Anolis sagrei: one gene and its partner. Each later gene encodes a partner of the first gene's protein in a complex. Links are inferred from orthologs where the notes say so. Each region holds a gene or a part of one and is shown in the gene's direction. Other genes may lie near its edges.

Region 1 (15,808 bases):
TTGGGTATTTGTGCCGAATTTGGTCTGGTGAATGAAAATGCATCCCCCATATTATTTCCATAGGCGATCCCTCATTGGCCGAGTAGGATAGTCTTCCAGTATCAGTGCTCTGGAGGGTCCATAGGTGACTGTGGAGCCCTATTCTTGACCTGCATCTTCTCCCGCAGTGAGGGCATTGGTTTCCAGGTGGAAGGCGGTCTTGATCGAGGTTGGCTTGATGCACCTTCCTCTTGGCATGTTTCTCTTTTTCACCCTCCATTCATGCCTCTTAAAATTCTACAGCGCTGCTGGTCACAGCTGACCTCCAGCTGGAGCGCTCAAGGGCCAGGGCTTCCCAGTTCTCAGTGTCTATGCCAGAGTTTTTAAGGTTGGCTTTCAGCCTATCTTTAAATCTCTTTTCCTGTCATCCAGCATTCCATTTTCCTTTCTTGAGTTCGGAGTACAGCAACTGCTTTGGGAGATGGTGGTCGGGCATCCAGACAATGTGGCCGGTCCAGCGGAATTGATGGTGGAGGACCATCGCTTCAATGCTGGTGGTCTTCCATATTATTTACACTAGTCGTCCCCTGCCACATGTTGCAGTGGCCCACATGGGGGTTCAGTGTGGGAGACTTGGCCCAATTCTGTTGTTGGTGGGGTTCAGAATGCTCTGTAGGTGAACTATAAATCCCAGCAACTACAACTCCCAAATATCAAGATTCTATTTTCCCCAAACTCCACCAGTGTTCATATTTGGGCATATTGAGTATCTGTGCCAAGTTTGGTCCAGATTGATCATTGTTTGAGTCCACAGTACTCTCTGGATTTAGGTGAACTACAACTCCAAAACCAAAGGACACTGCCCACCAAATCCTTCCAGTATTTTCTGTAGGTCATGGGAGAACTGTGTGCCAAGTTTGGTTCAATTCCATCGTTGGTGGAGTTCAGAATGCTCTTTGATTGTAGGTGAACTATAAATCCCAGCAACTACAACTCCCAAATGTCAAGGTCTATTTCCCTTAAACTCCATCTGTGTTCATATTTGAGCATATGGAATATTCGTGCCAAGTTTGGTCCAGATCCATCATTGTTTGAGTCCACAGTGCTCTCTGGATGTGGGTGAACTATAATTCCCAAACTCAATGTCAATGTCCACCAAACCTTTCCAGTTTTTTCTGTTGGTCATGGGAGCCCTGTGTGCTAAGTTTGGTTCAATTCCATCATTGGTGGGGTTCAGAATGCTCTTTGTAGGTGAACTATAAATCCCAGCAAGTACAACTCCCAAATCGCAAAATCAATTTGGGTTTAATGTATTGTCGAAGGCTTTCATGGCTGGAATCACTAGGTTCTTGTGGGTTTTTTCGGGCTATAGGGCCATGTTCTAGAGGCATTTCTCCTGACGTTTCGCCTGCATCTATGGCAAGCATCCTCAGAGGTAGTGAGGATGGGTTGTTAGGGTTGTTAGGTGTCAATTTGGGTTGTTAGATGTCTTGTGTCCCAAATGTCAAGGTCTATTTCCCTTAAACTCCATCATATTTGGGCATATGGGATATTCGTGCCAAGTTTGGTCCAGATCCATCGTTGTTTGAGTCCACAGTGCTCTCTGGATGTGGGTGAACTATAATTCCCAAACTCAATGTCAATGTCCACCAAACCTTTCCAGTTTTTCGTCAATTCGTCCAGTGGTTTTTGAGTTCTGTTAATCCCACAAACGAATATTACGTTTTTATTTATATAGATTACAGGTCACAACAGTAGCAAAAGGACAGTTGTGGAGTAGCAACGAAAATAATGTGATGGTTGGGGGTCACCACAACATGAGGATCTGTATTAAGGGGTCGCGGCATTAGGAAGGTTGAGAACCACTGCTCTATAGAGTGAGTGAGAGGTGAGTAGATTTGTTTTGCTCCCCATTCTGAGTCTCTTTTTGCATGCCCTCGAGCATGGCATATCCAAAAGAAGGCATATCCCGCCCCTCTGCAACATCTGCTGATGTACGGCCTGTGTTGTCGCTCCCTGCAGGAGCCCATCTGTGCCCACTTCCAAAGGGACCATCCATCAACAACGGCCATGCTTGTTAGAGGAGGCCAAGAGCTCTCTGGAGACCCCTAATACTCTCACTAGCCTTTCGGGGGCTCCCACTGGACTCTTCCTAGCAAATCGGGGCAACGAGGAGCAGAAGGAGAAGCAGGCGGGCCATCAACGGGGGCACCGATATCGGTCGGTTGGAGAGGGCTTACACAAAGGGTCTAGCTTTGCCTGGCAAAGAGCTTTCTCTTTTCCACAAAAGCCACCTCCAAAAAGTCAGTTGCCAACCTGGCATAGGGTTGCTGTGAGTTTTCCGGGCTGTATGGCCATGTTCCAGAAGCATTCTCTCCTGATGTTTCACCCTCATCTATGGCAGGCATTTTCAGAAGTTGTTAGGTCTCTTGGAAATGAGGCAAGAGGGCGACTAAAATGATCAAAGGTCTGGAGAACAAGCCCTATGAGGAGCGGCTTAAGGAGCTGGGCATGTTTAGCCTGAAGAAGAGAAGGCTGAGAGGATAGCCATGTATAAAAATGTGAGAGGAAGGCACAGGGAGGAGGGAGCAAGCTTGTTTTCTGCTTCCATGGAGACTAGGACGCGGAACAACGGCTTCAAACTACAAGAGAAGAGATTCCATCTGAACACGAGGAAGAACTTCCTGACTGTGAGAGCCGTTCAGCAGTGGAACTCTCTGCCCTGGAGTCTGGTGAAGGCTCCTTCTTTGGAAGCTTTTAAACTTTTTGGCCATCTGTCAGGGGTGATTTGAATGCAATATTCCTGCTTCTTGGCAGAATGGGGTTGGACTGGATGGCCCAGGAGGTCTCTTCCAACTCTTTGATTGTAGGATTCTATGGGGTTTATAGATCTGTGGAAAGATGTCCAGGGTGGGAGAATGAATTCTCTGTTGGAGGCAAATATGGATGTTGCCATTGGCCACCTTGACTAATAATAATAATAATAATAATAATAACAACAACAACAATCTCTCAGTTCTTGTGGGTTTTTTTGGGCTATATGGCCATGTTCTAGAAGCATTTCTCCTGACGTTTCGCCTGCTTCTAGAAATGCTTCTAGAACATGGCCATATAGCCCGAAAAAACCCACAAGAACTGAGAGATTCCAGCCATGAAAGCCTTCGACAATACATTGAACAACAACAACAATAATTTATTTATACCTTGCCACCATCTCCCCAAGGGGACTTGGAGCGGCTTACATGAGGCCAAGCCCAACAACACATCTATAGAAACAACAAGCAATAAGCAAAAACAATACAGACTATAATAATAATAATAATAATAATAATAATACTTTATTTATACCCCGCCACCATCTCCCCGATGGGGACTCGGAGCTGCTTACATGGGGCCAAGTCCGGACAACATAATACAGCAATAAAATCAAAGCATATACAACAAATAACAACATTATCAAAATGACATAATAATAATAATAATAATAATAATAATAATAATAATAATAATTCCAATAGATACAATCACAATAGAGATGACAATGGGCGGGCCACATATTCCAAATAAAAACAATTAACAGACTATGTATTGTCGAAGGCTTTCATGGCCGGAATCACTGGGTTGTTGTAGGTTTTTCCGGGCTATATGGCCATGTTCTAGAGGCATTCACACCTAGCTCTAGCAGACAAGAGTCCTTTGTCCCACCCTGGTCATTCCACAGATATATAAACCCTTTTTCCTAGTTCCAACAAACCTCACTACTTCTGAGGATGCTTGCCATAGATGCAGGCGAAACGTCAGGAGAAAATGCCTCTAGACCATAGCCATATAGCCCGAAAAAAACCTACAACAACCCAATTAACAGACTATAATGAGATAAAATAGGAGCAGGATGTTTAAATGGAACCCATAAAACACACAAGACTAGCATTGAATAGTCTTGCAGCTTCAAAGCCTGGCCGCTGAAAGGTTCTATCATCAAACAGGCTATATTTACCTGCCCACACATTTGGCTGAAAAGTTTTTGGACAGTTTTCTTATTTTCATTCTTGAAATATAAATATAAATTAGTAACAAAAAAATACGAGTACTTTAGCTTTTGTAAATTCCTTTGCCAGGATTCAGGTGAGCATAAGGGACACCTTCATGGAACAAGGTATGATTGGATGGTGGGTATTTTTTCCTGATAGGATATGCATGGGAGGCATCCTTTGGTGTTTCGGAGATGTGTGGTTAGGTCAAGGTAAGTCCAGTCATATTGAACTCTGGGGTTGGTGCTCATCTCCATTTCTAAGCCAGCGTTATCCATAGACACCTCCAAGGTCATGTGGCTAGCATGACTACATGGAGCACCATTAACTTCCCGCTGAAGTGGTATCTATTAATCTACTCACATTTGCATGTTTTCGAACTGCAGAAGCTGGGGTTAACAGTGGGAGCTCACCCCGCTCCTTGGATTTGAATGTGCGATCTTTTGGTCAGCAAGTTCAGCAGCGGTTTAACCCCACTGCACCACCGGGAGCTCATGTGTTTGGTTTACCGTATGCAAATGCATGTAAATATGGCTGGTGTATTGATTAATCAATTAAACACTGAGTGGTTAATCAATGGGCCTGCTAATCTGTGGCCAGCCCACAGGGTAAGAGACAAATTGGAGGAAGCCAACCTCCGCCTGTCCTCAAGCCCATCCTGACTTCTTCAGTCCGCGATAAAGCCAAAGGTGTTCTGGGGCACGCGAAGAGTGGCACTGACTATTGACAAGCTGGACTGTGTCCAAAATAATCAAAACATTGGAAGCCAAACTCTTTGAGGAACCAATTAGAGAGCTGGGGAGGTTTAGCTTGGAGAGAGAGAAAAGACTAAGAGGGGACGTGATAGCCATGTTTACATACGGAGCTTTAAATCTAATGTTAATTCTGTTTGCTATTGTCTTATATTGATTGTTTATGTTATTGTTTATCCTTCGTTATGTAGTTTATTGTATTGTATTGTAATTATTACCTTGGGTACCTGGTGGTGTCTGGGTTATTTGAGAAAGTCAATTTATTAATTGTGCAAAATGCATAACGTTGTGGGTGAACTACAACTCCCATCTGGCCAGGTTAACCCCCCATCAGTACTTAAAGATTGTTATGTTGGGCAAGTTTGCTCTGGATGCATCATTGGTGGGGTCCAGTGTGCTCTCTGGCTGCAGAGTAAACTACAACTCGCACTAGAGCAGTGGTTCTCAACCTTCCTAATGCCACGACCCCTTAATATGCTTCCTCATGTTATGGTGACCCCCAACCATAAAATTAGTTTCGTTGCTACTTCATAACTCATTTTGCTGCTGTTATGAATAGTAACAGATTGGGGGAGGGTATTGATTTTGTCCTGTGGGAGTTGTAGTTGCTGGGATTTATAGTTCACGTACAATCTAAGAGCATTCTGAATTCCACCAACGATAGAACTGAATCGAACTGGGAAACACAGAATTCCCATGATCAACAGAAAATACTGGAAGGGTTTGGTGGGCAGTGACCTTGAGTTTTGGGAGTTGTAGTTTACCTACATCCAGAGAGAACTGTAGACTCAAACAATGATGGATCTGGACCAAACTTGGCACGAATTCTCAGTATGCCCAAATGTAAACACTAGTAGAGTTTGGGGGAAATAGACCTTGACATTTGGGAGTTGTAGTTGCTGGGATTTATAGTTCACCTACAATCAAAGAGCATTCGAACCCTACCAAGGATTGAATTGGGCCAAACTTCCCACACAGAACATCCATGACCAACAGAAAATACTGTGTTTTCTGGTGGTCTTTGGTGACTCCTCTGACACCCCCTCGCAACCCCTCCAGGGGTCCTGACCCCCAGGTTGAGAAACACTGCACTAGAGTGAGTCAATTTATTTATTTATTATTTATTTAGAGCTTTTATAACCCGGTCTTCTCGAATCATAGAATCAAAGAGTTGGAAAAGACCTCATGGGCCATCCAGTCCAACCCCATTCTGCCAAGAAGCATGAACATTGCATTCAAATCACCCCTGACAGATGGCCATCCAGCCTCTGTTTAAAAGCTTCCAAAGAAGGAGCCTCCACCACACTCCGGGGCAGAGAGTTCCACTGCTGAACGGCTCTCACAGTCAGGAAGTTCTTCCTCGTGTTCAGATGGAATCTCCTCTCTCTTCGACCTCCGAAGAGAGACTCAGGCCGGCTAACAGCAGAAAATTCAACACAAATATAGTAAACATAATAGCATCGTAATACATTAATACAAATTACATTAAAATACAGATCATACAATATCATACTATTACAAAAGCCAGGTCGTCAGAATAAAATCACAAATTCATCCCCATCCGCCGGTGTGGTCAGCCGTTATTGACTCGATCATCATTCTGCAAATGCTATATTCCAAAGCCAGGTTTTTAGCAGCTTTCTGAAAGTCAGGAGGGGAGAGGCAGATCTAATCTCTAATGGGAGAGAGTTCCAGAGCCGAGGGGCCACCACCGAGAAGGCCCTGTCCCTCATCCCCACCAGACGCGATTGCGAAGGTGGTGGGACCGAGAACAGGGACCCTCCAGAAGATCTTAACAACCTTGATGGTTCATAGGGGAGAATCCATTTGGACAGGTAAACTGGGCCGGAGTCGTTTAGGGATTTATAGGTCAACACCAGCACTTTGAATTGTGCTCGGAAGCTAATTGGCAGCCGCCGCAACAGAGGAGTAGTATGCTCTCTGTACCCTGCTCCTGTTAATAATCTGGCTGCCACTCGTTGGACTAGTTGAAGCTTCCAGGCAGTCTTCAGAGGCAATCCCACGTAGAGAGCGTTGCAGTAGTCTATACAGAATGTAACCAGAGCGTGGACCACCGTGGTCAAGTTCAATCCCCTCGAACTTCTCTAGTAGGTTGAGTTAGTCATGGGGGTTCTGTGTGCCAAGCTAGTTCCAGGTCCATCATTGGTGGAGTTCTGAATGTTCATTGATTGCAGGTGAACTATACATCCCAGTACCTCCAATTCCTATAATTTGTGGTGAATTCTCCCTAAACCTCTCTAGTATGTTCAGTTGCTGATCAATTCCTCTGTTTGCTGTGTGCCATAGAAAAGGATTAAATAATAATAACAATAATAATAATAATAATAATAATTGCAGAGAAGCAACTGGAAAACCTGACACGATATGAGGATTTAAAGATTGGACTGCAAAGACTCTGGCACAAGCCAGTCAAGGTGGTCCCAGTGGTGAGCGGCACACTGGGTGCAGTGCCTAAAGACCTTGGCCTGCACTTAAAAACAATCGGCACTGACAAAATTACCATCTGCCAGCTGCAGAAGGCCACCTTACTGGGATCTGCACGCATTGTTTGCCGATACATCACACAGTCCTAGACACTTGGGAAGTGTCCGACGTGTGATCCAATAAAACAGCCAGCAGAGTGTCTGCTCTGGACACATCTTGTTGTGTTTCTAATAATAGTAATAGTAATAATAATAATAATAATAATAATTAGAATGGGATGCCAGTCCCAGTGCCCTGGCTCTACCTAGAGAGGGGCCATGGCAGCCTGCTCTCTCTCTCTCTGGGTCCATCCCTAGAGAGAGGGTCCTGGGGAGTGGGGAGGGGGCGTGGCCAGTGTGTGTGGGAGGCTCCTCCCCCTTTGCCCTTTAAATGCAGCGGCAGGCATCGGGAGGCAGAGGTGCCCTGCTTGGCAGAGAGAGAGAGAGAGGCAGGGATGCTCTGGGGAGCTGAAGGGAGGGAAGGGCTGTGCCCCATGGACCACTGAGACTGGGGGTCTGGATGGAGGCGAGGAGGGCGCCCTGGGGCCGGGCGGGGCTGGCCCTGTGCCTGCTGGCCTGGCTGATGCCCCTGCCGCCCCCCGCCACCCCCTCGCCCTGCCTGGAGCCATGCCGCTGCTACCTCAACAGCCTCCTCTGCCAGGAGCCCAACACCATCCGGAGCCTCGCCCAGCTCCGTAGCCTGGAGAACTTCACCGAAATGTGAGCAGCACCCAGGGATGGGCATGCCCCCCCCCCCGGGGGGGGGGACTCCTTCTGCCCGGCTCCTCTTCTTTCTCCTTTCTGCTCTTGGGCCACTCTCCTCCTCCTCTTCTTCTTCCTTCTCTCTCTTTCTGCTCCCATGCCAATCTTCTCTTTCTCCTTTTCCTTCTCTCATGACAATGTTCTCCTCTTCATCCTTCTCTCTCTTCTTGCTCTCATGCTGCCAGTCTTCTCCTCTTCCTCCTTTTCCCTCTTCCTCCTTCTCTCTCTTTCTGCTCCTATGCCACTTTCTTTTCCTCCTCCTCTTCCTCCTCCTCCCTCTTCCTTCTTCTACCCCTTCTGCTCCCATGCCATTCTTATTTTCGCCCTCCTTCTCCTCTTCCTCCTCCTCTCTCTCCCTCCTTCTTGCTCTTCTTGCTCTCAGGCTGCCAATCTTCTCCTCTTCCTCCTTTTCCCTCTTCCTCCTTCACTCTCTTTCTGCTTCCATGCCATTTTTTCTCCTCCTCTCCCTCCTCTCCCTTCCTCCTTCTACCCCTTTCTGCTCCCATGACAATCTTCTCTTTCTCCTTTTCCTTCTCTCATGCTAGTCTTCTCCTTTTCCTCTTCCTCCTTCTCTCTCTTCTGGCTCTCAGGCTGCCACAATCTTCTCCTCTTCCGACTTTTCCCCTTCCTCCTTCTCTCTCTTTCTGCTTCTATGCCACTTTCTTTTCCTCTGCCTCCTCCTCCTCCTTCTCTCTCTTCCTCCTATCTCTTTCTGCTCCCATGCCAACCTTCTCCTCCTTCTCCTTTTCCCTCTTCCTTCTTCTCTCTCTTTCTGCTCCTATGCCACTTTCTTTTCCTCCTCCTCTTCCTCCTCCTCCCTCTTCCTTCTTCTACCCCTTTCTGCTCCCATGCCATTCTTATTTTCGCCCTCCTTCTCCTCTTCCTCCTTCTCTCTCTTTCTGCTCCTATGCCACTTTCTTTTCATCCTCCTTTTCCTCTTCCTCCTTCTCTCTGCCTCTTTCTGCTCTCATGCCAATCTTCTCTCTCGCCTTTTCTTTCTGTCATGCCAGTCTTCTCCTCTTCCTCCTTTTCTCTCTTTCTATTCCTTTGCCACTTTCTTTTCCTCTGCCTTCTCCTCTTCCTCCTTCTCTCCCTCCCTCCTTCTATCCTTTTCTACTTCCATGCCATTCTTTTTTTCCTCCGCCTTTTCCTCCTTCTCTCTACCCCTTTCTGCTCCCATGCCAATCTTCTCTTTCTCCTTTTCCTTCTCTCATGCCAGTTTCCCCTCTTCCTCCTTCTCTCTCTTTCTGCTCCTATGCCACTTTCTTTTCCTTTGCCTTCTCCTCTTCCTCCTTCTCTCCCCCCTCCTTCTATCCCTTTCTGCTTCCATGCTATTCTTTTTTCCTCTGCCTTCTCCTCTTCCTCCTTCTCTCTTTTCTTGCTGTCATGCTGCCAATCTTCTCCTCTTCCTCCTTTTCCCTTTTCCTCCTTCTATCCCTTTCTGGTCCCATGACATTCTTTTTTTTACCCCCCCCCCCTTCTCTTCTTCTCTCTCTTCTTGCTCTCATGCTGCCAATCTCTTCCTCCTTTTCCCTCTTCCTCCTTCTCCCTCTTTCTGTTCCCATGCCATGCTTCTTTTCGCCCTCCTTCTCCTCTTCCTCCTCTCGCTTCCTCCTTCTCTCTCTTCTTGCTCTCATGATGCCAATCTCCTCTTCCTCCTTTTCCCTCTTCCTTCTTCTCTCTCTTTCTGCTCCTATGCCACTTTCTTTTCCTCCTCCTCTTCCTCCTCCTCCCTCTTCCTCCTTCTACCCCTTTCTGCTCCCATGCCATGCTTCTTTTCGCCCTCCTTCTCCTCTTCCTCCTTCTCTCTCTTCCCTCTTCTCTCTCTTCTTGCTCTCATGCTGCCAATCTTTTCCTCTTCATCCTTTTCCCTCTTCCTCCTTCTCTCTCTTCCTCCTTCTACCCCTTTCTGCTCCCATGCCAATCTTCTCTTTCTCCTTTTCCTTCTCTCATGCCAGTCTTCTCCTCTTTCTCCTTCTCTCTCTCTTTCTGCTCTCATGCTGACAATCTTCTCCTCTTCCGACTCTTCCCTCTTCCTCCTTCTGTCTCTTTCTATGCCACTTTCTTTTCACATGCCAATCTTCTCCTCTTTCTCCTCTCTCTCCCTTCACTCGTGCCAGTCTTCTTCTCTTCCTCCTTCTCTCTCTTCTTGTTCTAATGCTGCCAATGTTCTTCTCTTCCTCCTTTTCCCTCTTCCTCCTTCTATCCCTTTCTGTTCCTATGTCATTTTCTTTTCCGCTGCCTTCTCCTCTTCCTCCTTCTCTCTCTCCCTCCTTCTATCCCTTTCTGCTTCCATGCCATTCCTTTTTTCCTCCGCCTTCTCCTCTTCCCCCTTCTCTCTCTCTGCTCCCATCCCAATCTTCTCCTCTTCTCCTCTCTCTTCCTTCTCTCGTGCCAGTCTTCTTCTCTTCCTCCTTCTCCTTCCTCTTCTCTCTCCTGCACCACTTTCTTTTCCTCCTCCTTCTCTCTCTTCCTCCTTCTACCCCTTTCTGCTCCCATGCCAATCTTCTCTTTCTCCTTTTCCTTCTCTCCTGCCAGTCTTCTCCTCTTCCTCCTTCTCCCTCTTCCTCCTTTCTGCTCCCATGCAAATCTTCTCCTCTTCCTCCTCTCCCTTCCTTCTCTTGTGCCAGTCTTCTCCTCTTCCAACTTCTCTCTCTTCCTCCTTTTATCCCTTCTTGCTACCATGCAACTTTCTTTTCTTCTTCCTTTTCTCTCTTTCTGCTCCCATGCCATTTTCTTTTCATCCTCCTTCACCTTTTCCTCCTTTTTTCTCTTCTTGCTCCTATGCCACTCTCGTCTTCTTCCTACTGCTCCTTCTTCCTGCTCCCATGCCAACCTATGTTCCTCCTTTTCCCTCTTCCACCTTCTCTTCCTGCCCCCATGCCACTCTTTCCCCCTCTTCTTCCTCCTTCTCCCCTTTCCCCCTCTTCCTTCTTCCCTTTCTTTCTGCTCCTATGCTATTCTTCTTTTCTTCCTCCTCCTCTCCCTCCTCTCTCTTCCGGCTCCCATGCCAGTCTTCTTCTCTTCATCCTTCCCCTTCTTTCTCCTTTTTTTCTTTCTATTCCTATGCCACTCTTTTTCTTCCTCTTTACCCCTCTTCCTGCTCCTTCTCCTCTTCCTCTCTCTTCCTGCTCCCATGCCAACCTTCTCCTCATCCTCTTTCTCTCTTCATGCGCCTATACCACTTTTTGCCTCTTTCTCCTTCTTTCTTTCTGTTCTTATACCACTATTTCCTGCTCTTTCTGCCTCTTCCTCCCTCTTCCTGCTCCTATCTCAACTTCTCCTTCTTCCTGCTCCTATGCCACTCTTCTCCTTCTCCTCCTTCTCCTCCTTACCCTTTTCTTTTTCTTTCTGCTCCAATGCCACTCCTTTCTTCCTCCATCTAATCTCCCTCTTTTGCTCTCTTCCTGCTCCTATGCTACTCTTCTCCTCTTCCTCCTTCTCCTCCGTACCCTTTTCTTTTTCTTTCTGCTCCAATGCCACTCCTTTCTTCCTCCTTCTCATCTTCCTCCATCTAATCTCCCTCTTTTGCTCTCTTCCTGCTCCTATGCCACTCTTTCCCTCTTCCTCCGTCTCCCTCCTGCTCCTATGCTACTCTTCCTCCTCCTTCTCTTTCTCTTTCTCTCACTTCCTACTCCCATGCCAATCTCTTCCTCATCTTCCTTCTCTCTCTTCCTTCCTCCTTCTCTCTCTACTCTTCTCCTCTTCCTCCTTCTCTTCTCTTCCTCCTTCTTTCTCTTCCTTCTCCTATTCCGCCCTTTCACCGTACTCTGAGGTTCCTGATGCCAGGAGTGGCACCTGAGTCATGCTGCCTCTTCTGTGCCATCCTGCCCAGTGTTCGTGTCATTATGAAATAGTCTCATCTATCTATTCTACCTCTACTAAGCGCAGTGGCCCAGTTGGTTGAGGCAGGAGAAAGCAGGAGGGCACCTGAGTGCCAGGGAGTGGGGAGGGATGTTCCTTTCTCTGCCCTTAAAACCACACCTTTTCCTTTGGCACAACTGAAGCCAGAAAGGCATACATTGAAGGGGCAAGAGCTGGGCCCCAATGGCTCAACCTCTGACTTGTCCAAACAGCTCTCCTGGAAAGGAGAAAGTGGTGGACTTGGTGAACGAGGCAGGTGAAAGAATGCCTTGGTTCAACTGGCACACCAAATGGGGCTCTTCGAAGCCCTGAGTGGCTTCGCAAGGCTGCCCTCCAAGTGCCCACTCAATTACGGGAGTGGCAAAAACACCAAGTTCTGTGCCAGCTTGCTCCTTGATAGGAGGCTGCTGGTTTCCTAACAAAATACCCCTCGAAGGGGGGCTGTTCCCAAATGGGAGGAGAGCGAGTCCAGCTCTGATGCCCTTTAGGGGTCCTGGCATCAGGGGTGAAGTGGCCCCATCTCAAGAAGTTGAAGGCAGGGTGGGCAAGGGCTATACAAAATGGCAGAGAAGCAAGACTGGTCTGAAAGGAAGAAGAATACAAAGCTGGTGTCTAAGGACGGTATTTGCAAACTTTCACCAAGAGCTGTCTTTGCCAGAACCAACATAATTTGACTGTGGAATGAATTGTCCTAATAATAATAATAATAATAATAATAATATCATATATAATTACTTATTAATTGCCCTCCATCCGAGAATGCTCTAGGCGATTTACAGCTAAATTGTAAAAGATGAAATACATACATATAGAAATTAAAAATTAATAACAAATTAATAACAATAATAATTATGGATTGTCGATGTCACAATCCCAGATGACAGCAGGATTGCAGAGAAATAACTGGTAAAGCTGACACGATATGAAGATTTAAAAATTGAACTGCAAAGACTCTGGCACAAGCCAGTCAAGGTGGTCCCAGTGGTGATCAGCACACTGGGTGCAGTGCCTAAAGACCTTGGCCTGCACTTAAACACAATCGGCGCTGACAAAATTACCATCTGCCAGCTGCAGAAGGTCACCTTACTGGGATCTGCACGCATTATTTGCCGATACATCACACAGTCCTAGACACTTGGGAAGGATCCGACGTGTGATCCAATTCAACAGCCAGCAGTGTTTATTATTGTGATTATTATTATTATTATTATTATTATTATTATTATTATTATTTTACTGACACAAAAGCACAGTATGTCACAGCAAACGAGATCTATATTATTATTATTATTATTATTATTATTATTATTATGATTGCCACTGATTCAGAAAATTGCCTTGAACAGATCCCACCAGCTCTAGTTTCTTAGATATGGTTACCATGATTTCTTATGGGTGAGCAGATGGCGGCTGAGAGATGCCATATGTTCGTATCTCAAAAACTAGAGCTGAGAAGGAGGAATATGTACCAGTTTTGGAAACAGCAGGTCAAATATACCCAGAGCTAACATTTGAGGCATCAAAATGTATATTGACCAGTTACTGGGGCCGGATGGTCTCCCATCCTAGAAGCAATAATTGAGGATGACCCTGCTTAGCTGGGAGCTGCGGTGGTGGAATGGGTTAAACCCTTGTGCCAACTGAACAGCTGACCTGAAGGTCAACAGTTCAAATGTGTGAGACAGAGTGAGCTCCTATCTGTCAGCTCCAGCTTCCCATGTGGGGACATGAGAGAAGCCTCCCACAGGATGGTATCACATCTGGGCGTCCCCTGGGTGCCTGGATGGCCAGATCCCCATTTGCACCCCTTTTGTGATGATTCAAGGGGTAAATCCAGGGAGCCAGGAGTCGGGTCTCCCAAGGGTGTGGGTCTTGGACTTTAGTCTCCCGATGCCTTGAAAGAGACTCAGAAGAGGGGTCAGCTCTGTGTCCCCTTCCATTGCGCCCACCCCACTTTGTGCCCACCCACACTGACCCCCGGCCAGCTCCCCATTCCCTCCTCAACCCATCATTCCCCAATCCAAATCCCGTGCCAGACCCCCATTTGCACCCCTTTTGTGATGATTCAAGGGGTACATCCAGGAAGCAAGGGGTCGGGTCTCCCAAGGTTGGGGGTCTTGGGCTCAGGTCTCCCCATGCCTTGGAAGAGACTCAAAAGAAGAGTCAGCTCTGTGTCCCCTTGCATTGCCCCCTCCCCACTTTGTGTTCACCCACACTGACCCCCAGCCAGCTCCCCATCATTCTCCAATCCAAAGGGATCAAAGCCCCTGCCAGACCCCCATTTGCACCCCTTTTGTGATGATTCAAGGGGTACATCCAGGAAGTCAGGGGTCGGGTCTCCCAAGGTTGGGGGTCTTGGGCTCAGGTCTCCTAATGCCTTGGAAGAGACTTAGAAGAGGGGTCAGCTCTGTGTCCCCTTCCATTGCCCCCTCCCCACTTTGTGCTCACCCACACTGACCTCCAGCTGGCTCCGCATTCCCTCTTCAACCCATCATTCCCCAATCCAAATCCCACGCCAGATCCCCATTTGCACCCCTTTTGTGATGATTCAAGGGGTACATCCAGGAAGCCAGGGGTCGGGTCTCCCGATGCCTTGGAAGAGACTCAGAAGAGGGGTCAGCTCTGTGTCCCCTTTCATTACCCCCTCCTCACTTTGTGCCCACCCACACTGACCCCCAGCTGGCTCCCCATTCCCTCCTCAACGCATCATTCCCCAATCCAAAGCCCCCGCCAGACCCCCATTTGCACCCCTTTTGTGATGATTCAAGGGGTAAATCCAGGAAGCAAGGAGTCGGGTCTCCCAAGGTTAGGGGTCTTGGGCTCAGGTCTCCCCATGCCTTGGAAGAGACTCAAAAGAGGAGTCAGCTCTGTGTCCCCTTGCATTGCCCCCTCCCCACTTTGTGTTCACCCACACTGACCCCCAGCCAGCTCCCCATCATTCTCCAATCCAAAGGGCTCAAAGCCCCTGCCAGACCCCCCATTTTCACTCCTTTTGTGATAATTCAAGGGGTACATCCAGGAAGCAAGGGGTCGGGTCTCCCAAGGTTGGGGGTCTTGGGCTCAGGTCTCCTGAAGCCTTGGAAGAGACTCAAAGAGGGATCAGCTCTGTGTCCCCTTCCATTGCCCCCTCCCCACTTTGTACCCATCCACACTGACCTCCAGCCAGCTCTCCATCATTCCCCAATCCAAAGGGGTCAAAGCCCCCTCCAGACCCCCATTTGCACCCCTTTTGTGATGATTCAAGGGGTAAATCCAGGAAGCCCTGGGCAACGTCTCTGCAGACGGCCAATCCTCTCAAAACCAGAAGCGACTTGCAGTTTCTCAAGTCATTTCTGACACAATAAGATAAAAACCTAGCTTAGTGTATTGTCAAACCCGGCTCAGCTTCCTTGCATTGGACTGGATGCAAGATCTCCCTTTCTCTTTCAGCGTCATCGAAAACCAAACCACGTTGACCAACCTGACGCTGGAGGACATGAAGAACCCTCGAGAGCTGAAGAACCTGTGAGTTTCTAGGCTGGAGGACAGGGTGGTGTTGTTGGGCCAACCCAGTTAGTTTCTATTAAGCAAAGAGTTGCATCTACACGGTTTGGGTCCAGGTTACAATTAGGTCTTCGTTCATCATCGGCTGCCCTTAGATCAGGGAATGGTTTGCTAATTGAGCTGTCAAAATGTAAGACGAGATCTATTTCTTCCGGCATGCCTCCCCTGTGAATTTTAAATTTATCTTTGATTAGTATTGGCGTTTTAATCATTGTTCTACGTCTTTAATCTATGTATTATTATGGCCCTTTGATTTATCTATATTTTAAAATTATGTTCTCCCTCGCCTCCAGCACCGAGAAGAGGTGATGAATAACAAAATGTATTAGCATTAGGACACTATGTAACACAGTTCTCGTTCCTGGGTTATAAATGATATTTCCTAATTGATTTT
Region 2 (15,492 bases), on another chromosome or scaffold:
GATTGACTACATCCTTTGCAGCCAAAGGTGGCGGACATCCATCCAGTCGGTGAAAACAAGACCTGGGGCTGATTGTAGCTCAGACCACGAACTTCTTATTGCCCAATTTAGAATAAAACTAAAGAGATCAGGGAAAATACACAGACCAGTTAGATATGATCTCACTAACATTCCTAGCGAATATACAGTGGAAGTGAAGAACAGATTTGAAGGACTAGATTTAGTAAACAGAGTCCCAGAAGAACTATGGACAGAAGTCCGAGACATTGTTCAGGAGGCGGCAACAAAGTACGTTCCAAAGAAAAAGAAAACCAAGAAGGCAAAATGGTTGTCTGCTGAGACACTGGAAGTAGCCCAAGAAAGGAGGAAAGCAAAAGGAAACAGTGAAAAGGGGAGATATGCCCAGTTAAATGCGCAATTCCAGAGGTTAGCCAGAAGAGATAAGGAACTATTTTTAAATAAGCAATGCACGGAAGTGGAAGAAGACAACAGAATAGGAAGGACAAGAGACCTCTTCCAGAAAATTAGAAACATTGGAGGTAAATTTCAGGCAAAAATTGGTATGATAAGAAACAAAGATGGCAGGGACCTAACAGAAGCTGAAGAGATCAAGAGAAGGTGGCGAGACTATACAGAAGATCTGTATAGGAAGGATAACAATATCGAGGATAGCTTTGACGATGTGGTGAATGAATTAGAACCAGACATCCTGAGGAGTGAGGTTGAATGGGCCTTAAGAAGCATTGCTAACAACAAGGCAGCAGGAGATGATGGGATCCCAGCTGAACTGTTTAAAATCTTAAAAGATGATGCTGTCAAGGTGATGCATACCATTTGCCAGCAAATATGGAAAACACAAGAATGGCCATCAGACTGGAAAAAATCAACTTATATCCCCATACCAAAAAAGGGAAGTGCGAAAGACTGCTCAAACTTCCGTACAGTGGCCCTTATTTCTCATGCCAGTAAGGTAATGCTCAAGATCCTGCAAGGAAGGCTCCAGCAATACATGGAGCGAGAGTTGCCAGATGTTCAAGCTGGGTTTAGAAAAGGCAGAGGAACGAGAGACCAGATTGCCAATATCCGCTGGATAATGGAGAAAGGCAGGGAGTTTCAGAAAAACATCTACTTCTGCTTCATTGACTATTCTAAAGCCTTTGACTGTGTGGATCATAATAAATTGTGGCAAGTTCTTGGTGGGATGGGCATACCAAGCCACCTTGTCTCTCTCCTGAGGAATCTGTACAAGGACCAAGTAGCAACAGTCAGAACTGACCACGGAACAACAGACTGGTTCAAGATTGGGAAAGGCGTACGGCAAGGCTGCATACTCTCACCCAACCTTTTTAACTTGTATGCAGAACACATCATGCGATGTGCGGGGCTGGATGAATGCAAAGCTGGGGTGAAAATTGCTGGAAGAAACATTAACAACCTCAGATATGCAGATGACACCACTCTGATGGCCGAAAGCGAGGAGGAGCTGAGGAGCCTTCTAATCAAGGTGAAAGAAGAAAGCGCAAAAGCCGGGTTGCAGCTAAACGTCAAAAAAACCAAGATTATGGCAACAAGAATGATTGACAACTGGAAAATAGAGGGAGAAACCGTGGAGGCCGTGACAGACTTTGTATTTCTAGGTGCAAAGATAACTGCAGATGCAGACTGTAGCCAGGAAATCAGAAGACGCTTACTTCTTGGGAGGAGAGCAATGTCCAGTCTCGATAAAATAGTGAAGAGTAGAGACATCAGACTGGCAACAAAGATCCGCCTAGTCAAAGCCATGGTATTCCCTGTAGTAACCTACGGATGTGAGAGCTGGACCTTAGGGAAGGCTGAGCGAAGGAAGATCGATGCTTTTGAGCTGTGGTGCTGGAGGAAAGTGCTGAGAGTGCCTTGGACTGTGAGAAGATCCAACCAGTCCATCCTCCAGGAAATAAAGCCCGACTGCTCACTGGAGGGAAAGATACTAGAGACAAAGTTGAAGTACTTTGGCCACATCATGAGGAGACAGGAAAGCCTAGAGAAGACAATTATGCTGGGGAAAGTGGAAGGCAAAAGGAAGAGGGGCCGACCAAAGGCAAGATGGATGGATGGCATCCTTGAAGTGACTGGACTGACCTTGAGGGAGCTGGGGGTGGTAACGGCCGACAGGGAGCTCTGGCGTAGGCTGGTCCATGAGGTCACGAAGAGTCGGAGACGACTGAACGAATGAACAACAACAACAAGCTGTTCTTGCTTCCAGTTCCTGTGTGGCATAGTTTGGAGTCATGTAACCTTGCCTTTGGATATCTCTGTGGATTGACTTTGGAGACTTTCTTTTAATAAATTTTTGGACTCTCAGCATTTATGGAAATAACATTTTGAACTTTGATTCTCTCTTTTGAATTTGCTTGCTTTTTATATATTCTGCCTTTAATAAACTTTTACTTATTGGATTATATGGACAGTGTGTGGTTTGTAGTGAAAAGAGGCTTCAGGGCCCTAGTGAAACAGCAGCAATGGCAGCAACAACAGCAACAATCGACACAAACAAGTGTGGCTATCCAGTAGTAGAGCCTAACCAGGCTAAGCCCAACTGGGCAATCCAGACTTAATCCTGCTACTGCACAACGAAATGGGAAAGAGGAGGGTTCAATCTGGAGTACTGCCACTCCAGATTTAGGACATATTAAATGGCTCTTATAGAGGGACCCATCATTATCACTTTAGGGCGGAAACTAGCATGGTATATAGGTTAGACCAGGGGTCCTCAAACTATGGCCTGGGGGCCGGATACGGCCCTCCAAGGTCATTTACCCGGCCCTCGCTCAGAGTCAACCTTAGTCTGAAATGACTTGAAAGCACACAACAACAACAACCATCCTATCTCATCAGCCAAAATCAGGCCCACACTTCCCATGGAAATACTAATAAGTGTATATTTGTTAAAATTGTTCTTCATTTTAATTATTATATTGTTTTCATGTGGTTTTTGCACTACAAATAAGATATGTGCAGTATGCATAGGAATTCATTCATGTTTTTTTCAAATTATAATCCGATCCTCCAACAGTTTGAGGGACTGTGACCTGGCCCTCTGTTTAAAAGGTTTGAGGACCCCTTGGGTTAGATTATTAGATGAAGATGGAGCTCTCCCGCACCTTGAGCTTGATTTTCTTCACAAGGCTACTTTGACCTTCTTAGAGAAAATAAAAACTATGACTGTTGCAAGCAATTAATTAACCAACCAACCAACCATTACCACACTTTCTTGAAGGCACTTGTACAGTATGTATAGGCACTATGTAACAATAAGACAATACACCCACATGGAGACAGCACATCCTCATTTGGAAAGGGTTATCATTAGCAATCGCAACCTCATTATATTTCACTTGGCGTGATGCAGTCTTGAGGCAATATAAGCAAGTTAAACACTTCAAAACTATAAAATAATTACAATACATTTTAAAAGAGCTTAATCATCTTGAAAATAGGTTTAACAGGTTAGAACAGTCTAAAACCTAGTGCCTAAGTATCTTAGAGTGAGTCACTTACTCCCCAAATGCTTCTTATATTAGTCATGTTGATATATGGCACCTATATAAAGTTTTAATTGGCACCAGGTAAAGGCATTCCACAAGTGGCATATTACAAATGAGAAAGCCTCACACAGCATTGATCATATCAATGGGATACATAAGAGATCCCTTCTGGCAGGCTCTGTCATTGGGCAGACATATATAGAGATGAGTACTTCATTTCCCTGTATGTTTACAATAAGCATATTTAGGCAAAATCTAAGGAATAGCCATTAAGCTTTATGGAAGGGTGACCTAAGTGTCTGCTGCACTCAGTATGTGAGTAATGTCCAGGCCAGGCATGTATACCTTTCACACTTTAGTTGTGAGCTCTGTAAAGAACACTGTAAAGAATAATTTATTGCCTTGTTATTGATTAATTGTGCAATATGCTATTACTTATGCATACCACTCTGTAATTGACAGGCGTAGGCATAATTGGTTTACCCTGGCATGAACTTTCACAGAGGGTTCTTTGCTTTCTCTTATGCCTTGTTATTGATGAATTGTGCAATTTGCTATTACTTATATATACCACTCTGTTATTGACAGGCATAGGCATCATTGGTTTACCCTGGCATAGCTTTTGCAGAGGGTTCTTTGCTTTCTCTTATGCCTAAAGTGCACTGAGTTTCTTTTTCAATATTTTGAAACCAGAAGAAGGAGAATCCTGCCAAACTAAGGCAAGTTTGCTACCGGGCACAATTCAAAGTGCTAGCTTTAGCCTATAAAGCCCTAAACGGTTCTGGCCTAACTTACCTGTCTGAACTCACCGTCTCCTCTGAACCAGCTAGGGTGTTAAAATCGTCTGGGGAGGCCCTGCTCTCGGTCCCGCCAGCGTCACAAGTATGTTTGGCGGGGACGAGGGACAGGGCCTTCTCAGTGGTGGCCCCTCAGCTGTGCAACGCCCTCCCTACAGATATTAGATCACCCTCCTCCCTGTTGACATTTCGGAGGAAAGTGAAGACCTGGTTGTTCGAGCAGGCATTTGAATAGGCAGTGTAACGAACATAGGAATATGGAACAATTGGATTATGAGACTGGATCTTGATTTTAACTATGAGACGCTAATGAGATGTTTAATTGACTTATATTGACTGTTTATTATGCTATTGTTTTAATTGTTTATAACTGTTTTATGATTTTTTGAGCATTGCATTTTGCTATTGTTAACCGCTCTGAGTTGCCCCAGGGCTGAGAAGAAAATATAGTAAATAAATAAATAAATTTATTCTAGAAAGTATGGATTTATAATCTATGTATCTTGGCTTGCTGATGGTGATTAGCAATTTGTGGAAAAAAATTATTTTGACATTATAAATTAATATAATGTCCCAGCTTTTTAACGTCAGCTTGTTACTATTATATTGGTTGCACAGTACAGAGTCCCAGTCTCCCAAAAGTAACAATATTTATTATAACTGTTTACATGTCACCCTTTTAAGTTTTTTATCAGAAGTTTGCTTGATCATCTAATTCAACATTCAAACAGAGAATTCTCAGTTGGCACTCAATTGCTTTTCTGACAGTGGTAGTCCAATATCTCCTACTGAAAACTGTGCCACTACTGATAATCCCATTATTACCATTTCCCTGCATTACCCTTCCTCTTTCACCCTGCTTTCCTTCCAGCACACAAATATTTTGACTCCCTCTCTTGCCTTTCAGTTTGGCTGCCTATGCCATCTATTCTTACATAGAAATATTGGCACATGGTGCAGCAGCAGGATATGAAGAAGGATGATAGAAGAGGAGGAGGTAGTAGAAAGTTAAGGTCAGGCACCCTCAAACTACAACCCTCACTCCAGCTGTTTGTGTCTCTAGCTCCCAGAATTCTTGACTATTGAACAAGCTGGCTACGGCTTAGACTCATAGAATCATAAAGTTGGAAGAGACCTCATGGCCATGCAGTCCAACCCCCTGCCAAAAAGCAGGAAAATCACATTCAAAGCACTCCTGACAGATCGCCATCCAGCCTCTGTTTAAATGCCTCCAAAGAAGGAGCCTCTGCCACACTCCGGGGCAGAGAGTTCCGCTGCTGAACGGCTCTCACAGTTAGGAAGTTCTTCCTAATGTTCAGATGGAATCTCCTTTCTTGTAGTTTGAAGCCATTGCTCCATGTCCTAGTCTCCAGGCAGCAGAAAAAAAGCTTGCTCCCTCCTTCCTATGACTTCCCTTCACATATTTATAAATGGTTATCATGTCTTCTCTCACCCTTCTCTTCTGCAGGCTAAACAGCTAGAGGATGCCTGGTTATGATAATAACTCAGCCAATGAGGCAGGAGAAAAGAAAATGAGGGAGAAGTACAAGGGAACTTTAGAAAAAGAAAGGAGTTGAGGATGGAAAGTGTGTTTGGTGGTACCATGTAAGGAAACAGATAAATGAGGATGTGCAGGAGATGTGGTGAGTTAAAAGGGAAGGCGATCAAGCAAAAAGGGTGGTTGTCAGGCAATGAGGAAAAGAAGCAGCACAATTCACAATGTCCAGTGCTCTTCTTCCTCCAGCAAATCAATGAATGGCAAGAATAGAAATGACTTAGATCTTATTACACCACTAAAGTGTGATTTCTATAGGCATAGTATCCTTAAAATTGATACATGTCGTTTCCATGATTTCACTTGTTCACTTCGGCCTCCTGTACAAACTACCACTTCTTTTCAGCATCTCTAACATTCACAGGAACATACCCACCATGGATATTGGAGGGGATTGTCCTGTATTTCACCCCCCACCCCATCTTCCTTACTAGTACTTGCTTGGCCTCTGTCCCTCACTTTTTCCCCTCCGTGATGCTGCAGGAGGAAGACAGTGTGGCACAGAGTGAGGGAGCAACAAGGGAGTGTTTCACCATTGGCAGTGCTGTGCCCCCCCCCCCCCCAAGGATGAAAACTGGAGATAGCAGCAATAATGGTTCTGTAGGAAATGAAATTTTGGGGAACTGATGCCTTAGGGTATTTGGGTCCAGTTTGATCTTGGCAACCCAAAGAGAAACTGGATTGACTCCACTGAATATGTCATTTCTGCAAATAGCCCTGTTTCGAATTCAAATTTCTTCCCAAGAAGATCCAAAAGCAAACAAAGGTGGTGGCTTTGTACCTTGGTGTGGGGGCTGCTTCTTGGGGGGAGGCTGCCAACAAGGAGCAGATTCTTTAAGGGTTGTTTTCAGTGTTACAGATCACCAAAACGAATGGGCTTGAAACCCTTGAGGAAGTACACTGTTTCTTCCAAATACCATATATGTTTTTTCCATGTCAAGCATGACTTGAGAAACTGCAAGTTGTTTGTGGTGTGAGAGAATTGGCTGTCTGGAAGGACATTGCCCAGGGGGTGCCTGGATGTTTTGATGTTTTAGCATCCTTGTGGGAGCCTTCCCTCATGTCCCCGCATGAGGAGCTGGAGCTGACAGAGGAAGCTCTACCCACTCTCCCCAGATTCGAACTACTGACCTGTTGGTCATCAGTTCTCCTGGCACAAGGGTTTAACCCATTGTGCCACTGGGGCTCCCAAAGACCAATTGAAGGCACATGTATGTATACTGTATACCTTGTAGAAGGAAGGCAGTTTGACCAGAGGTCAGCTGCCATGGCTCCTTGCTACTGGATTTTAGTTGGGTGAGCCACCAGAGAAGGAGAAAGACTTTGTGAAATGTAATGGTATAGAACACATCGTCATGGCAATGAAAGTGGGGTTAAATTGCATTCATCCGACAGTGTAGATCAGGCTTGGGCAAACTTGGGCCCTCCGGGTGTTTTGGACTTCAACTCCCACCATTCCTAACAGTCACAGGCCCCTTCCTTTTCCCCCTAGATGCTTAAGCTTAAACCTGTTAGGAATGGTGGGAGTTGAAGTCCAAAACACCCGGAGAGCCCAAGTTTGCTCAAGCCTGGTCTAGATGCCCTCGTAGGCGATTTCAACCAGACAGTCCTGGTGTCCGGAGCTTGTTGCGGATAAGCGAAGACCTGGTGCCAGGTCAGGCACGATGGGCGTGGACGGCTGGGTGGGTGGACCTCGAGGCGTCGGGGAAGCCCCGTGGGCGGCTGCTGTCCCTCCTCAGGAGACAGGAGCCGGGGCCCCTCGCCCGGTATGAAAGCGGGGCGGGCGGGAGGAGGAGGCGGCAGAGAGAGGCAGGCGCTCTTCTTTCTCTCCCGCGACGTGTCCCGCGCGCCTTCCCTGGGACTCACTCAGTCAGAGCCGGCCAGCGAAGGAAGGAGTGAGTGAGTGAACGAGCGAGTGAGCGGCCCTCGGGGGAATCTTCCCGCGCGAGTCTGGGCAGCTCGCTCCTCGGCTTTGATGGCGCTAGGACCCAGGCGGAGCGCGAGCGGGAGGCCGAGGGAGAGCGCCCCCGGGGCTGCGTGAGTCAGTCCGACCGACCTACCGTCCGACCATCCGTCCGAGGAGCGCCGTCGGAGTCGAAGGGCAGCGCGCGGTGGATGAGGCTGGGGCGCGCGGTGGCGAAGTGGATGGCTCGCGGGCGCCGGGGGAGCGGCTCGAGGGTTCGCGGAAAGCGGGGCGGCCACGGAGAAGAGAGCAGCACCGGCACCAGCTCCTCCTGAAGGGGATCTCTCTCCACCTGCCCGCCGGAGGTGAGTGAGTGAGTGAGCGAGGGAGGGAGGGAGTGGGACCAGCACAGCCTGGGCGACTTGTGCCCCCGGGCAAACTCCAAGGGCGCCTCTTCTGTACTGTAGTCGAATGAATGCCGTTGAATGGGCAACACTTGAACTGCCCTTGAACTGGCTCGGGGCTGTCTTTCGCCTTTCAGAGATTCCAGACCACACATCCCAGGAGTGCCAAGCCTCTCCTTGGGGCCCTAAGCCACCCTTGGGAAATTGCTCCTTTTCTGTCTAAGGTACAGACAATACAGTTGGGAACTACATTATGGCGTTAGTGTAGGATCTATATACAGTAGAGTCTCGCTTATCCAACCTTCCCTCATCCAACATTCTGTATTATCCAATGTAGTCTGCTTCCTGCCCTGATCCACAGCTGTTTCAATACATTGCAATGTTTTGCTGCTAAATTCGTAAATATAGTAATTACTAGAAAACGTATCATGTACTGAACTGCTTCTTCTGTCAATTTGTTATAAAACATGTTTTGGTGCTTAATTTGTAAAATCAGAACATAATTTGGCATTATATAGGCTTTTGCTTAATCCCTCCTTATTATCCAACATTTTCGCTTATCCAGCATTGTTCCGGCCCATTTATGTTGGGCAAGCAAGACTCTACTGTAGTTGCATGCAGTTAAACTGCATTATATGGGTCTACACCACCCATAATCAGCCTTCCATGTGTTCTGGACCTTAACTCCCTTAATTCCTAACAGCCGATGGGAGCTAAAGTTGGGCCCACTTTCATCTTGGCAACCCAAAGAGAAACTGGATTCACGCCACTGAACATGCAATTTCTGCAAATGGCCCTGTTTCAACTTCCAAGCCCCATTCCCAAGAAGATCCAAAAGCCAACAGAAGTGGTGGCTTTGGAGCCAAGGAGCAGGTTCTTCAGGGGCTGTTTCCAATATTACAGGTCATCAAAACGAATGGGCTTGAAACACCTGGAGGGCCCAAGTTTGCCCATCCCTGGTCTATACTGACGCTATAATGCAATATCCAAATTGCAATATCTGGCAGTGTAGATCCAGGCAAAAATCCCTGGTTAAAAAGTCCCGCAGCCTCTATTAATAGCTCCAGGAGGGGAGTCTGGAGGGTAGGTTTGTTGTAAACCACTTTGAGTCCCCCCAGGGATAAGAAAAGCGGGATATAAATACAGTAAATAAATAACATAAATAGATTTGCAGCAGGCCTTTGCTAAGTGCAGGGTTCGTTTTCCAAAAACCAAGGGCACGAGAAGCCCATATTGATGCCATTAGTATGAAACACCACGCATGAATGTGACCTTCTGCTGTAAGTCAGTGCAAGATTGCCACTCTTTCCTCCTCTCCTTTACAGTTTTTAAGACAGCAATAGACACTGCATTTCTAAATCAGTTGATTCTCCCTCTTTTATCCCTCAAGCAATGAACTCCTCGCTGTCTGCCTAGCAGGGGCAGGATGGAAACGGATGGTATTCATTGATTTATGCTTCAGGACTGGGCTCTGTGTGTGAGTGAGTGTGTTTGACACCAGACAGTGGTTGAAAGAGTTGAAAGGGAGGGGGAAGGATAAGAAGAGTTTTGAATTTGCAGTTTGTTGGAAATTGGTGGCATTATTTCTCCTTCCACTGAACCTCAGAGCATTTCCATGTTTTCTCAGAATATTTGGAATTTTAAGAACAAATGCCTAAATAAGAGTGTGCTTGTTTGCTATGTGCTTTTCTGCAGTGTTGGAACTAGGAAAGTTTGCAGACATCAGAGGGTACTGGTGGAAAACCTTTTGTGGTATGAACTAAGGCTCTGTGTATGATTTCTTGTGTGAATCCCAGTAACAAAGTCTCTTCTGTTGACCTGAGAAGTTGCTAAAACTTTGAGATCCTGGTTGTTTTTGTTCTTAGAGATTTGTTCTTAAACTCCTCCTGACAGCTTCACTTGTGCAGATGCATTAAAGCCACCTGGTTTCAGTGATGTCTTCTGTTTGGTCAACAACTTCATAATTGGATTGTTGTGAGTTTTCCGGGCTGTATGGCCATGTTCCAGAAGCATTCTCTCCTGGCATTTTGCCTGCATCATTTTCCTAATTTCCAACAGACTCCAGAACCTCTGAGGATGCCTGTCATAGATGCAGGCAAAATGTCAGGAGAGAATGCTTCTGGAACATAGCCATACAGTCTGGAAAACTCACAACAACCTAGTGATTCCGGACATGAAAGCTTTTGACAATACAACTTCATAATTAAATGATTCAACCGTGATGACCTTTCTGTGTCATTGCATAGATAGAGTGCTGCAGTGAAATGAAATCTATAGACTGTAGTAAAATCACATCATGATGGTCCATGGAAGTATTATCTGAAAGATCTTAAACCAGGATAAATAAGTGCCAGGGGCCAGATGAGTTAGATGAGACACATGCCTTGGCGAAGAGAACGGGGACCGTAATCTCCACTTTCTGAATCACTGCTTAACAATCCAAGGAACATCTGGAGACATTGCTCAGCGATATAGTCACTTTCAAAGGGGTATGTGGAATTGGGATAATGATTATTCAACAACTTCAGAAATGCAGGGAACTCGCCCTAAAGGGACAGAATCTGTTTCATGGTAGAAGTCATGTTGACGGCTGCTCATTACTCCATCCCAGCACTAGATCAGCTCCGAGTTCACAGTTTTGCTTAACAGCATTCACCTGCTGCTGCTGCCGCCTCTTCTTGGTGAATTGATTTCAGATTCATTTAAAACATTGCCAGGAGCTCAAGGATTTTTCATCGCCCCATAAAAATGCTTTTATGGCCTACAGAGCCAGTCCCAGTTTTAAAGAAGGAGTATTTCATATATGCATTACATTGTCAGAGTTTAGATTCAAAAAATCTAGCCTCGTTCTGTGTTGATGTTACCTTTCTTTTATGGAACAAAATGAAGGCACAAATTAGAATGGTGTTGTCTGCTTAATGGGATAAAAATTACTTTGATAATGGTTTGCTGTGAATTTTCTGGGCTGTATGGCAAGGTTCCCGAAACATTCTCTCCTGACGTTTCACCCACATTGGCAGGCATCCTGAGGTCTGTTGGAAACTAGGCAAGTGGCATGTCCATTTGCGAACTAATACTTTGATATCAGTTTGTAATCACTCAGTAGACATCAAAATTATGTTGTGTTGCTTTCAAAAGAAGCAATGTTTCTTTCAAGATTCCTGTACATATTCATTATTTTCAGTTTAAGAGCTGAAATGTACTGTCTTGTTAGCACTAATGTATTTAGTCCTTCCAACCCCCAATTGAGGGGGGAAATGTTGCTCAAATGTCATCAAACAAAACTTACAGATTCTGTCACATCATTGGTTCAGTTTGTGGTTGGGAGGATGATGTAGTGTCTTTCCCAGAGCTCCAAACCACCACTTTCCATTTTTCTGATTTTTTTGGAAAAAAAGGTATCATTCCATTTAAAGCAATGGGGACCTCTGCTGGCAATTCCAATCTAGCAAATACACGCTGAGTGCAGTAATCTGATAAACATGAATTGTCCCTGATTGGTTTAATAACCTCCATTAAAGAAAGTTACAAAATGCTAAGTAAACATACCCAGAAATAAGTTGCATTGACATTAATGAGGTTTGCTTCTGAATAAATGCACTTATAGGGATTGAGCTGGAGTTTTTTTTTATAAACATTATTTTTTAAAAAATCTCTCCAGATGTGTTCTTAGGTTTTGTGTGGAACTGCGAGGCAGATTCTTTACAGATAAGATTTTTTGTTTTATGCTGTATGCCAGAAAACCCTCCTGATTTTGTCTGCAGAGTGGAGGAGTAATTTTAATAATACAACAAAATTTCAGGGTCGGGAAATTGTGCCACATTTCATTCTGGCATTTCAGATGGAAACAGTTGACTCTGTTATAGGTTAAACATTAAACCGTTCATCGTCTGGAATTAATTAATCTACAGAAAGACAAGTGGGGCTTTTGGGTCTCCCCCACTCCAGCCTTTGTATGATTATCAAGAAACAAAAGAATTACACAATTAAGTTGTTTGTGAATTAAAAGAGAGATACAACACTCCTGTATGTGCTTTCCATTGCCTTGAAATTCATGGTGCTTACTCAGTTTAACTCTGCCTTGGTTTGTTCAATATGAACAACTGGACTTTCATAGAAATAGGAGACCACCCATCAATTGCAAATGCTGTCCATGGAAATGGTAGATAACCAAAGCAGCAAGAACTTTAACCACAGCTATGAACTAGAGAGCATATGGCAGACCTCTTCACCAAAATGACTTGTTCGCTGTTGCCTATGGATGCGAGATCTGGACTTGATAGTAGCAACTGTGGTTATCTCCCCTATAATTAGAATAATAATAAAAATTCAGCAAGAGCCAGTAAGTTATGAGCATTTGTGGTAAGAACTTGTCAAATGTTAGCTTCCCCAGTACTAAACTGCTTTACTGGAAACAATATATTACAGTGTAGAAAGATGTGAATATAGGCAGCTTTCTGTATCCATGGATTCTGCACCCATGGATTCCGCTACCCACAGATTGAAAATATGTATTAAAAAAATTCTGAAGAGGAAACCTTGATTTTGCCATTCTAATTAAGGGACAGCATTTTGCTATGCTGCTGCATATCAAGGGATTTGAGTATCCATGAATTTTTGTGTCTACAAGAACCAAAGCTCTGTAGATACTAAAGGTCCACTATCTAAACCAAAATGTTTCAACAATACCAAACTTGTTTCATACAACAATCATTTAATTAGACTGTACTATATGTATTGTGTTTGGTCTCATCTTTTGTATGAAACAAGGGGATCCTCACAGAGGCTAACATCCAGTCCCTTTGAGGTGCAAACATCCTATAGTTAGGCTCAAATGTAATGGGAAATGGTATTTATTTATGTATGGTGTCAGAAGCAAATTGAGGGTACATTTATAATGTATTTTAAAACACAAACAAAATTTAAAACTTGGCATTATACTAAATTTCCTTTGACCAGTAGCTGGCCACTTGGAGTGCCTCTGGTGTTGCTATAAGAAGGTCCTCCATTGTGCATTGTGCAGGCTGTATTATAATAAGTGGTTTGTGGTTTACTCTTCTCCACACTCGCATGTTGTAGACTCTACTTTGTAGCCCCATTTCTTAAGGTTAGCTCTGCATCTCGTGGTACCAGAATTTAGTTTGTTCAATGCCTTTCAAGTCACCCAGTCTTCTGTGTGCCCAAGTAATAGACCCAAGGAAGAGTCTCTCATTCGGTATCAGACATGGATTGAGGTTATGAGTTTTAGCCTGCCGCTTTTGGACTCTCACTTGCTGAGGTCTTCCTGTGAGTATATCTGCAGATTTTAGAAAGCTATTTCTTGATTTAAGGCATTGGCGTGCTGGCTGATATCTGAACAGAGGATGGGCCTGAGATGTCACTTGTAAAATGTTGATGATGGGGAGATGCCAGATCAAAAGTCATTGTGTACTTTTGTGATGTAAAATCACCATTTCCCATGCAACTTGAAGCATGGGAAATGGTGAGTTTACATCACAAAGTTTACATCTTTTGATCTCCCCATCACCATCATTGTACAAGTTCCTGGAGGATATTTGAAGATTCTGCTTACAGATTTGAACTAAGGTTTCCATTATAACCCCCCCCCCCCCCAAAAAAAGGAAACTGTGGTTTGTTCTAGGCATAATTTGAACAAACCAATGTCACACTGCAGTTGTAAGTGATGCCATATTTGAATAACTATGTCGCTAGTATTTGTATATAATATATTTTGTTAATTTAAAAGACTTAACCGGAACATATCAATCTTCACAGCATACCTGAAGGGGGTAATGTACATGGTTGAGAGTGACTTGCAGCAGCATGTTGGTGTTAAAGTAATAAAGTAAATCTTCATTATGTCTGAATGACTTATACGTGGAATCACTCTTAGTAATGAGAAAAGCTAACATAATCTTTTATCAATGATGTGTCCTCCTAAGGCAACATTTTTGTGCTGAGGTTTTCTTAGACACACACATACATCATATTGTTGTTCATTGTATTAACAATCTTGCTTTACACTCTCTTTGGAAGAAATAAGCTAATACCACTCTTTCTTAATGAAAGCTAAATGCCACTAGAACATGGCCATACAGCCCAGAAACCACACTACACCCCAAATGCCATTACTTGTTTATTCACATTATTGTACAAATTACAAATTATTGTACTTGCAAATGGAGGAAAAGCTCCATGATTCTCTACATAAGTCTTAACACCAGAAAGAAGCTTTCACTACCTTTCTCAATTTGGTACCTTCCAAACTTCAGGGGTTACAACCCTTAAAATCCCAAATTTACTTGTTTATTCATACAGATGCTTCTGACTCTTTGTGACCTCATGGACCAGCCCATGCCAGAGCTTGCTGTCAGCAGTAGCCACCCCCAGCTCCTTCAAGATCAAGTCAGACCAAGGATACCATCCATCCACCTTGCCCTTGTTTGGTCCCTCTTCCTTTTTCCTTCCCATTCCCTCAGCATCATTATCTTCTCCAAGCTTTCCTCTCCTCTCATTATCTGGCCAAAGTACTTCATTTTTGTCTCTAATATCCTTCCCTCCAGTGAGTAGCCAGGCATTATTTCCTGGTTGGATCTTCTCATGGTCCAAGGCACTCTCAGAATTTTTCTTCAGCACCACAGTTCAAAAGCTTCTATCTTCCTTCACTTAGCCTTCCTTATGGTGCAGCTCTCTTATCCATAGGTTACTACGGGGAAAACCATTGTGGATGTTCGTTCCCAAATTCAGTATGACTTTGGAATTCTAGGAACTGAAATCTGAAACTTGTGGAAGGCAACAGATTTGGAAAATGCAAAGTTACAGATTGGGAAAATGCAATGTTTTAATGAATGATTCTATAAATTCATCAGCCTTGAAAATCTGGTTGACATGGAATACCATCCAATTTTATTTATTTAAATTATTTAATGCATTTATTTAATTCCTTTTATACTTTGCTTTTTTAAAAGATTCATAGTGGTTTACAGTAAAAAAATAAAATAATGCACAATGGGGTCAGGAAACACCAAGGAAAAATAAATGAAAGCAGGAATAATATTGAAAAGATTTTCAATTGCAGGATTTTCCAAAGTAATAGACCTATCACTTTGTTACAGTAAAAACATCCTGAACCCACCTAAAGTAAAAGAAATTTCTTTTCGCCTTAGGTTTTGTGAACCCAGATCATCAGATCCATGAAGTATAACCCAGAATGTCCAGGATTCCCCCTTTCCATCTGTTTACCTTCTGTTGTAGTCCGTTTATAGAGAGCAAGGTCAGGTGGAAATTAAACTGAAAAGGCTAACAGTGA

What was found.
Region 2: the proteins of NTRK1 (region 1) and NGF are in contact, whole or in part, in a crystal structure (PDB 1WWW), measured with the Homo sapiens proteins. The link is inferred for Anolis sagrei from reciprocal best matches to the Homo sapiens genes NTRK1 and NGF. Residues at the interface, in NP_002520.2 of Homo sapiens: His291, Val294, Glu295, Met296, His297, Cys300, Pro302, Phe303, Ser304, Leu333, Glu334, His343, Gly344, Cys345, Arg347, Thr352, His353, Met379, Asp380, Pro382; in NP_001424474.1 of Homo sapiens: His125, Pro126, Ile127, Phe128, Arg130, Gly131, Glu132, Phe133, Ser134, Ser138, Ser140, Trp142, Tyr173, Phe175, Arg180.

What each region holds. Positions count from the first base shown.
Region 1 is NC_090032.1:10,578,797-10,594,604, reverse strand, and holds the start of NTRK1 (high affinity nerve growth factor receptor), read left to right. Parts: upstream 1-7,636; 5' UTR 7,637-7,765; coding exon 7,766-7,965; intron 7,966-15,300; coding exon 15,301-15,375; intron 15,376-15,808. UniProt on the Homo sapiens protein: Receptor tyrosine kinase involved in the development and the maturation of the central and peripheral nervous systems through regulation of proliferation, differentiation and survival of sympathetic and nervous neurons.
Region 2 is NC_090024.1:203,798,322-203,813,813, reverse strand, and holds the start of NGF (beta-nerve growth factor), read left to right. Parts: upstream 1-7,606; 5' UTR 7,607-8,144; intron 8,145-15,492. UniProt on the Homo sapiens protein: Nerve growth factor is important for the development and maintenance of the sympathetic and sensory nervous systems.